2 linked regions of the Schizosaccharomyces pombe genome follow. The protein of the gene in region 1 interacts with the protein of each later gene in a biochemical or structural test. Each region holds a gene or a part of one and is shown in the gene's direction. Other genes may lie near its edges.

Evidence for each region.
Region 2: the proteins of mcm7 (region 1) and mcb1 form a complex in vitro, tested with the Schizosaccharomyces pombe proteins (one study listed by BioGRID).

The regions. Positions count from the first base shown.
Region 1 is NC_003423.3:3,716,782-3,721,863, reverse strand, and holds mcm7 (MCM complex subunit Mcm7), read left to right. Parts: upstream 1-1,824; 5' UTR 1,825-1,943; coding exon 1,944-4,226; 3' UTR 4,227-4,287; downstream 4,288-5,082. Other genes in the region: ribonucleotide reductase small subunit Suc22, read right to left, coding at 1-109; nucleolar protein Dnt1, read left to right, coding at 4,813-4,955, 5,008-5,082. UniProt on the Schizosaccharomyces pombe protein: Acts as a component of the MCM2-7 complex (MCM complex) which is the replicative helicase essential for 'once per cell cycle' DNA replication initiation and elongation in eukaryotic cells.
Region 2 is NC_003424.3:904,766-909,299, forward strand, and holds mcb1 (mini-chromosome maintenance complex-binding protein mcb1), read left to right. Parts: upstream 1-2,031; 5' UTR 2,032-2,118; coding exon 2,119-2,280; exon of another isoform or gene 2,281-2,324; coding exon 2,325-3,668; 3' UTR 3,669-4,034; downstream 4,035-4,534. Other genes in the region: rce1 (CAAX prenyl protease), read left to right, coding at 1-367; DNA replication factor C complex subunit Rfc4, read right to left, coding at 364-1,212, 1,268-1,379, 1,523-1,590; SUMO E3 ligase Pli1, read left to right, coding at 4,074-4,106, 4,159-4,534.

The DNA.
Region 1 (5,082 bases):
CTTTAATAGATTTAACATAAATTTTACGAACACCTTGTTCGCTATCATACTCGACTTCTTCACCATGTTCCTTAGGATAACTGAATTCTTCGAGATGCTCAAGGCCCATTTTGTAAGATTAATAATGAGATTTCGTCCAAACTGACCGGATTTATCTGTATATAGAATAAGTACAAAAGTTTTCTTCCACCGCGATTATCTCTTGCGATGTGGCTTCCCAAGATGTGTTGTGGTTAATGGCAAAACTTTCAAAGGTAGGTTATCCAATGTAGTGCACAGTATTGTAGTATATTCAACACCACCGTTTTTTTTGTGGATGTTAATTTGTCGCACTTTGGGTATGATAACACAATGAATAAGAGTGAAGGCAAAATAGACAAAATGCTGCCTTATTTTACAGAGTGGAAAATTGCAGTTAAACTAAGTCAAAGGCTGATGGAGATGAATAACGTTGAAAAAAAACAATGTACTAATTAATATTTGGAGACAAACGCAACGAGTAAAAAAAATGAAATAAATTCGAAGACAATCTCAAATTAAATGGGAAAAGCAAGGGCTTACTTCCTTTCCCTTCTGGTGTGTTATAATAACGGTTTCTTAAAGCAGGAAATTGTAGCTAGTTAATAGAAAAATGTGATAGCTTAAATCGAAGAATTCGATGCTAAGCGTGGAGTCGAATAAATTCAATTATTTAGGCTCAAATAATTGAAAAAATAGAAATGAATTTATTACTTTATGTAATAAATAAATTATTAAATTTCTCACTTTTTGTTATAATTTAATAAAGTAGTTTTCAGTGTAATACTTAAGACGCGTCAGGGTACCTCAATTTATGTTGTAGATGAAACGCAATGATATCAGCCTAGTAGTACGATATGATGTTAGAAATAAATATCTCTTCACAATCTCCTTTTCATCCGAGATGTAGAGCGCTTTATAACTGCTCAAATATTACAAATCACGAAACTTCTAATGCGACGCGACCGTACATAAAGACATTGCTTAATTAAAAAAAGATAAGCGCGACAGAGACCTAGCCACATACTGTGAATAATTTTAATACCTTGATCCTTTCGTAAAAAAAAAAAGAAATACTTATATTCGTCTATTGTAAACAGAAAATAAATAAGCATTCCAATAGCACGTTTCTATTGCGTGTTGTGCTTTTAGGTACAGTTTACAATGTGGTATAAAACAATAAAGAATTTTCTATATTCATTCTTCACTGATGTTTGAAATAACCGAACAAAAAATAAAAAGTTCCCTACTCGAAGTTTTTATATTGTTGATATCGCATTTCTTTTGAGAATTTCCCTGCTAACTTACTTCATAAGTTTTCAAAAAAATTTTTAAAAATAAAAGTGAAATAAATTTTAGGCAGTAGTCTAAATAACTCTCATGTTTAGAAATACAAAACGTGTAGAAGAAAAATAGGAAAAATTATGGATAGCTAAAATAACAATCGATTGAAGCAATGAAAACAATTAGACATACATTTATGAAAATAAAATGACCAATTTATTGTCTGGCAAAATGATTATTATTAATTTAAAACAAATAAACTGTTTATTTATACATAGTGAATACTCTCCAAAAAAAATTTCTAACAGTACTACATAGTGGCTTTTAAAATCAAACTGAATGTTTACTTTTGCTGCGAGAGTAATAAATTAAAAAGGAAATATGTAGAGAATCAAAAAAATTATACACTGCAATTTCTTTAGAGTCAATGACAATTTGTATATGCCCTAAGTTACAATATTTACATTTTTGTTACCTTACGAGTTCGCGTTGATTCATACTACCAACTAACTAAAACAACCTAAAGAAGAACCTTTCTTGGTATCTTACCCTTACTTAATACCCTTGCTTTCTTTTTGAACCTTTATATTTTTTGCTAATTCAGCAGAAAAGTTTTGGGATACTTTTTTGGTTTGAAAAGCATGGCACTTCCCACCATAGATTTAAAAATCCCAGAGTATGAAGAATGTCAACATAAAATTACGGATTTTCTATCCCACTTCAAGCAGGAACAGGTTCAAGATGGACAACAAAATCAGGATATTTCGATGTCGGATGCAGGTGATGAGCCTTTTTTAAAATCAAAGTATATGGATATACTACAAAAAATCTCCAATCGAGAGTCAAATGTTATTAATGTTGATTTGAATGATTTGTACGAGTTCGATCCAAGTGATACTCAGCTTTTGCATAATATTGAATCTAATGCTAAACGGTTTGTTGAACTTTTTTCGCAGTGCGCAGATGCGTTGATGCCTCCTCCTACTGTGGAAATTAATTATCGCAACGAAGTACTTGATGTAATTATGCAGCAACGTGTTCAAAGGAATGAAAATATAGACCCTGAGCATAAAGGATTTCCTCCTGAATTAACCCGAGGTTATGACTTATACTTTCGACCAGTAACTCGCAACAAAAAACCATTCAGCGTTCGTGATTTAAGAGGCGAAAACTTGGGATCTCTTTTGACTGTCCGTGGTATAGTTACTCGTACAAGTGATGTTAAGCCTAGCTTAACTGTAAATGCTTATACATGTGATCGATGTGGGTATGAAGTGTTTCAAGAAATCCGTCAGAAGACATTCCTTCCAATGTCTGAATGTCCTTCGGATGAATGTAAAAAGAATGATGCAAAAGGTCAGCTTTTCATGAGCACAAGAGCCAGTAAATTTCTTCCTTTTCAGGAAGTAAAAATACAAGAATTAACGAACCAAGTACCTATTGGCCATATCCCTAGATCATTAACCGTCCACTTATATGGTGCTATCACTCGCTCTGTAAATCCTGGCGATATCGTTGATATTTCTGGTATATTTTTGCCGACTCCGTATACTGGTTTTCGAGCAATGCGCGCCGGGCTCTTAACCGATACTTACTTAGAATGCCATTATGTTTCACAAATCATTAAAAATTACACAAATATTGAAAAAACTCCTCAATCGGAGGCTGCTATCGCTGAATTAAATCAAGGAGGCAATGTGTACGAAAAACTGGCCAAGTCCATTGCTCCCGAGATATATGGACATGAAGATGTTAAAAAAGCTTTACTTCTGTTGCTTGTCGGAGGTGTTACTAAAGAGTTAGGGGATGGAATGAGAATTCGTGGTGACATAAATATTTGTTTAACTGGTGATCCTGGTGTCGCAAAATCTCAATTATTAAAGTATATTTCGAAGGTTGCCCCGAGAGGAGTATACACCACAGGTCGTGGATCTTCAGGTGTTGGTTTAACTGCTGCTGTAATGCGTGATCCAGTGACGGATGAAATGGTTTTAGAGGGAGGTGCCTTAGTACTTGCTGACAACGGTATTTGCTGCATTGACGAATTTGATAAGATGGATGAAAGTGACCGTACAGCAATTCATGAAGTAATGGAACAGCAAACTATTTCAATTTCAAAGGCAGGAATCACTACGACTTTAAATGCTCGAACAAGTATTTTGGCCGCTGCGAACCCCTTATATGGACGATATAATCCGAAAGTGGCACCAATCCACAATATAAATCTTCCAGCTGCACTGCTTTCCCGGTTTGATATTTTATTTTTAATTTTAGATACTCCTTCTCGTGAAACAGACGAGCATTTGGCACAACACGTAACATATGTTCACATGCATAACGAACAACCTAAAATGGACTTTGAACCATTAGATCCAAACATGATTAGGCATTATATTTCTTCTGCTAGACAATATCGCCCAGTCGTACCAAAGGATGTATGCGACTATGTTACTGGTGCTTATGTTCAACTTCGACAAAACCAAAAGCGTGATGAAGCCAATGAGCGTCAATTCGCTCACACTACTCCACGTACACTTCTCGCTATTTTGCGAATGGGACAAGCATTAGCTCGTTTGCGTTTCAGTAATAGAGTGGAGATTGGCGATGTTGATGAAGCTTTGAGATTAATGTCTGTTTCAAAGTCATCACTATACGATGATTTGGATCCTAGTTCTCACGATACTACTATTACCTCGAAAATATATAAAATTATTCGAGACATGCTTAATAGCATACCAGATGTTGAAGGCAATGAACGCTCACTTACACTACGTGCTATTCGTGAACGCGTACTTGCTAAGGGTTTTACTGAAGATCATTTAATAAATACAATACAGGAATATACAGACCTTGGTGTTCTTTTAACTACAAACAATGGTCAAACAATAATGTTCCTCGATCCGGATTTACATATGGAGAATTAACAATTTACTAATAGATAACTCCTATCATTTAATTTTTCTGCCAATTAATTGCTTTAAGCTAATTTACAACCTATAGAAATTATTCTGAGACGTCAAACTACTTTTCTGTTGAATATTCTTTAATTCTGACTAATACATCTGTCGTTCTTTTAATCTATGATAGTTTATTTACTTGTATTCAAATGTTAATTCACGCAATTGAAAGGAAGATATATTAAGCCAATATGTTTCGTTAGATTTGGAAGGACCATAAAACCTTAAGATACGTGTCAATATGCTCGAGTCGTAGGAATGAGTAATGAGTTTTTATTTCTTGACATTTAGCATTATTTTACACCTTTAACTTGTTCATCACTGCTGTCCCACCCTTCCTGCTGTCATGCCGAGTAAATTGCGAATAGAACTTTACGCACTTCCTTAGAGCAACCAACTTTGGATACCCATTGGTGTCAAGAAATGGGCATTCCATTTTAAATAACTTACTTTGTTTTAACGTCTTTTTAATACTGATTAATTCCATTATAACTAGTTTGCCGGATCCACTTCTCCGTAAGAATCAAATAAAGAAATTTGCTGAATATTCGAAATGAGAACTACATTAAGGCTTCATATAATCAAAGATGGTGAACAAGATAATCAATTTATGATTCTGTTTGACCCATCTTCTTCAATTTCTTTATTAAAAGAAAAAGTGCAGGAAACTTACAAATCACTTTATCCTTTTGAATCGTAAGCATAGCAGCATGCTCCATCTTTCTACTATTAACGAAAATTATTATAGAAATATAAACATAAGAAATATAAAAAATGAAGAAAGCTACGACATTCCTAATGAGTACTTAGTCGGTGAAATCTT
Region 2 (4,534 bases), on another chromosome or scaffold:
TGTTGCGCCTCTGCTGTTTGGAATGGCGCATATTCATCATACCTATGAATTTCTACTTGCCTATCCGAATGCATATATAGCTGCCGCTCTTCAAACTGTTGTTCAGTTTTCATACACCACAGTTTTTGGATGGTATACAACACATCTATTCCTTTCCACGCATAGCTTATTTCCTTCATTTTTAGTACATGCTTTTTGTAATTCAATGGGGCTGCCAACTTTGTACGGAAAAATTGGAAACAGAAATCAGACTAGGATTTATTACACGTTACTATTGTTAGGGGTTTTGATATTTTATATGACTTGGGGTATTACTGATTTTAATAATCATCAAGACTTTGAACCAAGACTGGTGCCATTAAACTAAATAATAAAAGACTCCGGCTTCATCTGTGACTTAGCAAGGCGACATACTAAACCACTTAACTGCAACAAGGTTTGCACACCCTCTAAAATAATCATATGAGTTTGGCCAATTTCCTTAAGCATTTCTAATCTTGAAAATTCCGGAATACTGTCCATTGTCTTTACTACTCTAAACATATTAGTGACAATGTCCACAGCACTGAACCCCAAATCCCATATTCCCTGAAGTTTTTCAAGGGCGACGTCGATGTTTCCAGATTGACAAGCAGTTAGCATGGCATGTATCGCTACAGGTGAAGGCTGATCGGCGACCCGGAAAACGTTTTCACCGTTCACAAGACCGAATCCAGCAACAGTGCTCTGTAGATTGTTCACTGCTTGACGCATATCACCTTCTGCTGTCATGATAAGGGCAGCCAAACCATCATCTGTATAATTGACTTTTTCCGCTTTACATATATTCAATAAACGCTGTAAAACCTGTTGATCCGTAAGACGTGAGTATCGGAGAATTGCACACCGCGATTGAATAGGTTCAATAATTTTGTTGGATTGATTGCAAGCAAGTGCAAAACGCGTTGTATTACTGTAGATTTCCATAGTTCTACGCAAAGCTTGTTGAGCTCCAGCCGTCATACTATCTGCTTCGTCTAAAATAATGATCTTATGCCTTCCAGGTGGCAGTATGACTTTTTTCTGTGCGAATGCTTTAATTCTATTTCTCACTACATCGATACCTCGTTCATCTGAAGCATTTAATTCTAATACACCTTCCTTATATGCTGGGCCAAGTAATGCATGTGCTAAACAAAGAATAGACGTCGTTTTTCCGATACCAGGCATTCCCTATAAATATAAGTCAGCATGTAGTATAAATAATAATTAAAAAAAAATAGGTTACCGAAATAACTAGATGAGGCATATTCCCTTCCTTGGCAATAACTTTAAGTCGGTCAATCGTCTCCTCGTTACCAACAATGTCATCCAGGACGATTGGACGATACTTTTCGACCCTATAAGTTTATAGATCAGCATACTATATTATATTGAACCTTTAAATTATGAAAAGATGCCTGAGTCACCAAGAAGCAATCGTAATAGCTGAACACTAAAACCTTCATAAAGGACGTTTTAATTGCTCATAATATATACATACCATGGCAGCTCATAAGCTACAGAGTTATTTTTCTCTCCAAATACTGATGATGATACTGCATTACTCATATTCAGTGTTATTGAACTAGTAACATCAGTACTGAGTTCCAGTGAACTAGTAAATTTGTTGAGTATTTTAACCACTGCATGGTAGTCACTTCACCCATCGCGAATAGAAAAGAGCATTAATATGTAAATCTGAAAATTTTTTTTATTCTTAAATGCACTATCAAAGCTAGCTTTAAAATATATGTTTGTACAATCGACACAAATGATGAAAACAAGCACATCAATATATTTATATTATTACAAAAACGATCAATAATCTGTAAAATTCTAATATTTTTCTCTTTTAAGAGTAGTAATAAGCAATAGATAACTCTTTAAATTCACGCCTTCTGTTTCTTAATAAATTAAGCTTCTTATTAAGCGAATTTATACAGCAATTAGTACATCGTTAGGTATATGCAACGCCATAGAAAAGGGTACTTAAAGTCAATCCGCTCACGTGAAATGAACATTGCACATTGCAATATCAACATCTTTTATCATTACTGGTTTCAATAGGTTTAAAGGATAAAATTATATATTTATAATATGGTAATTGCTTTATCTGATTCTTTTATCGAAAATCCAAGATCGTTTCTTCAAAGATTTCAGGATGCATTGTTTGCAGGATCTAAGCCCGATTTACAAGGCACTTTAGGCATCGATGAAGAAGTTTCTAATATTTTCGCTACAGAGGAAAGAATAAGAAAGGTTTGTTAAGTGGTTTTTTCTCTTATTTGACACTGAATATTTAGATTCCAAACTATCTTGACTGCAAATGGTCTGAGTTAAAGACTGGTCAACTACTTCGTCTTCAAGGTATGGTGCAAGACACCAATTTTGGGCATGAATTTTTTGCTGGAGCTGTAGAGGTAAATGAAAACATTTGGAGAGGCTGTAGATACATACTTGATTTCAGCGAAGATGAAATGCATTTAGATGAATCTAAAATTGTCCTAGATGAAAGATATTCACTGTTTCTGACAAATGTTCCTGGAGAAAGAACTCTTCCTGTTATAGAAGCTTTGGGAAACTGGGGAAGCGAGAGTCTGAAAGAACGGTCATTGAAGTACTCAAACCGCTTACAAGCAAGTAATGATACCGGCGTTTGTGTTAAATGCTATGGCGGAATGGAAACTAAAGTTCAAGTTTGTCAAGCAATCGATGTTATTGGAATTTATGAAGAACCAAGTGAATACTCGGATGGTTTACCCATTTTACACATGTTATGTTTTAAGGATTATACGCAATCAGCTACTCAAGCCCCTTCTCCTCAGCAAGCTGAGATCATTCGACCAAAAATATTAAAATATTTTGAAAAAGTCCTTGGTGAAAATATAGCTGCGGAAAGTCTTATGCTTGCTCTTCTTTCCAACGTTGTTCATAAAACCACTGGTTTGGTTATAGGTGGTTTTACTTTAAATTTAACAAATTGCACCTCTGAATTAGTGTCCCAGTTAGTTTCTGTGTTACGGCCTTTGATAAAAAGAATGGTGATTCAAAAAGTTAATGTCGCCGAGCTTAACAGGAAGCCGCTTTATCCCTTGAGTGATGGAGAGACATTAGATACTAGCCATTTGCAAGTGGCTCCTGGCACCCTTATAGTTCTTGATGAAACTGAACTATCGAGTGGAACCTTAAACGATGTCGGATGCCGTAACGTTCAGTTTTTGTCTTCCCTAATATCTCAACAGGATTTAACATTTTTTTATCCTTTCAGTTCTTTTACCGTTCACAGTAATGTTCGAATAATTATATTAAGCCATGGAAGATCTATTTTGCCAGCTGATGTCGGTTGTAGATGTAGAGGCGATTCTCCGGACACTATTGAATTTCCAACTGATTCGGATGAGCTGCAAGAGTTTTGTAATTTTTTTCACATGTGGAACATGCGTGCTAATATTCCCGAAAACATGCTGGATTATATTCAATCTACATATGTGAGCTCCCGTCAATATAATAAAGAAATCAATGAAAAAACACTTTCATTACAGATCAATTGCTCTCGTCTCTACGCGAAGAGTTTCGGTCGTCAACTGGTTTCAAGAATTGATTTTGAGGCTGCCCGTAGTCTAATCAATCATTGGACTGTCAACTGATTGATCGCATATTTTCTTATAATCAACATCATTTAACCAATGTTAGAAATTACTTTTCATGTCTTTTTGGAATTTCCAAGTTAATTTCCTCATTCATTCGATCAAATTCATCAAAAGTTCATTTATATTGTTATTTAATTATTACTACAAGTAAAGCTCACTTGCCCGTTTTTTTTTTGTTTTCTTACATTATCACATACCGCACTGCCATATACTTCCTTATCTTCAAATATTAAATTCAAGTTTTGCCAACCAGGCGTTTGCAGAGATTCAAGGAATAAATATAATTCATTGTATTTTTAGCTAAAATTTGATTTCTTTGTCTTTCAAATACCTATACGGAAGCAGTCATTGCATATAACATATGTGTAAATCGACGGTTTAGGCAAGCAGTCTAAAAACTCAATGAACCAGGCGAACTTTTTACAGGAGCTTCCAGTAAGCCCAATAATAAGATATTTACAAGTTAACTAACAAAATGAATGTTTAGAATGTACTAAAGCGACTGGAAACTGGTCTTATTATACCTCAACTGAAAGATATACTTCGTGTTTTTGGACTTCGTCTTTCAGGAACAAAAGCTGAGCTCATTACCAGAATTAAACAACTAATAGAGAGGATAGCTATAGAAAACAACACAACCTCTTGGGAAGCATTGAAAAAGGCAATCGATGGCGATGTTACAAGTGCCGTATGTATCTTAAAGTACAACACATATCAGATATATAGTGCTGCTGCTCCAATTGCTCCACCTAGTTCAGCTTCTGGAAATAGATCATACAGCCGTCCTTTCGCCCCAGTTGTTCATTCGCGAATACGATTTCGAAAAAGTCCCTTTTATGACATTTTGGAACAATTCAATGCAC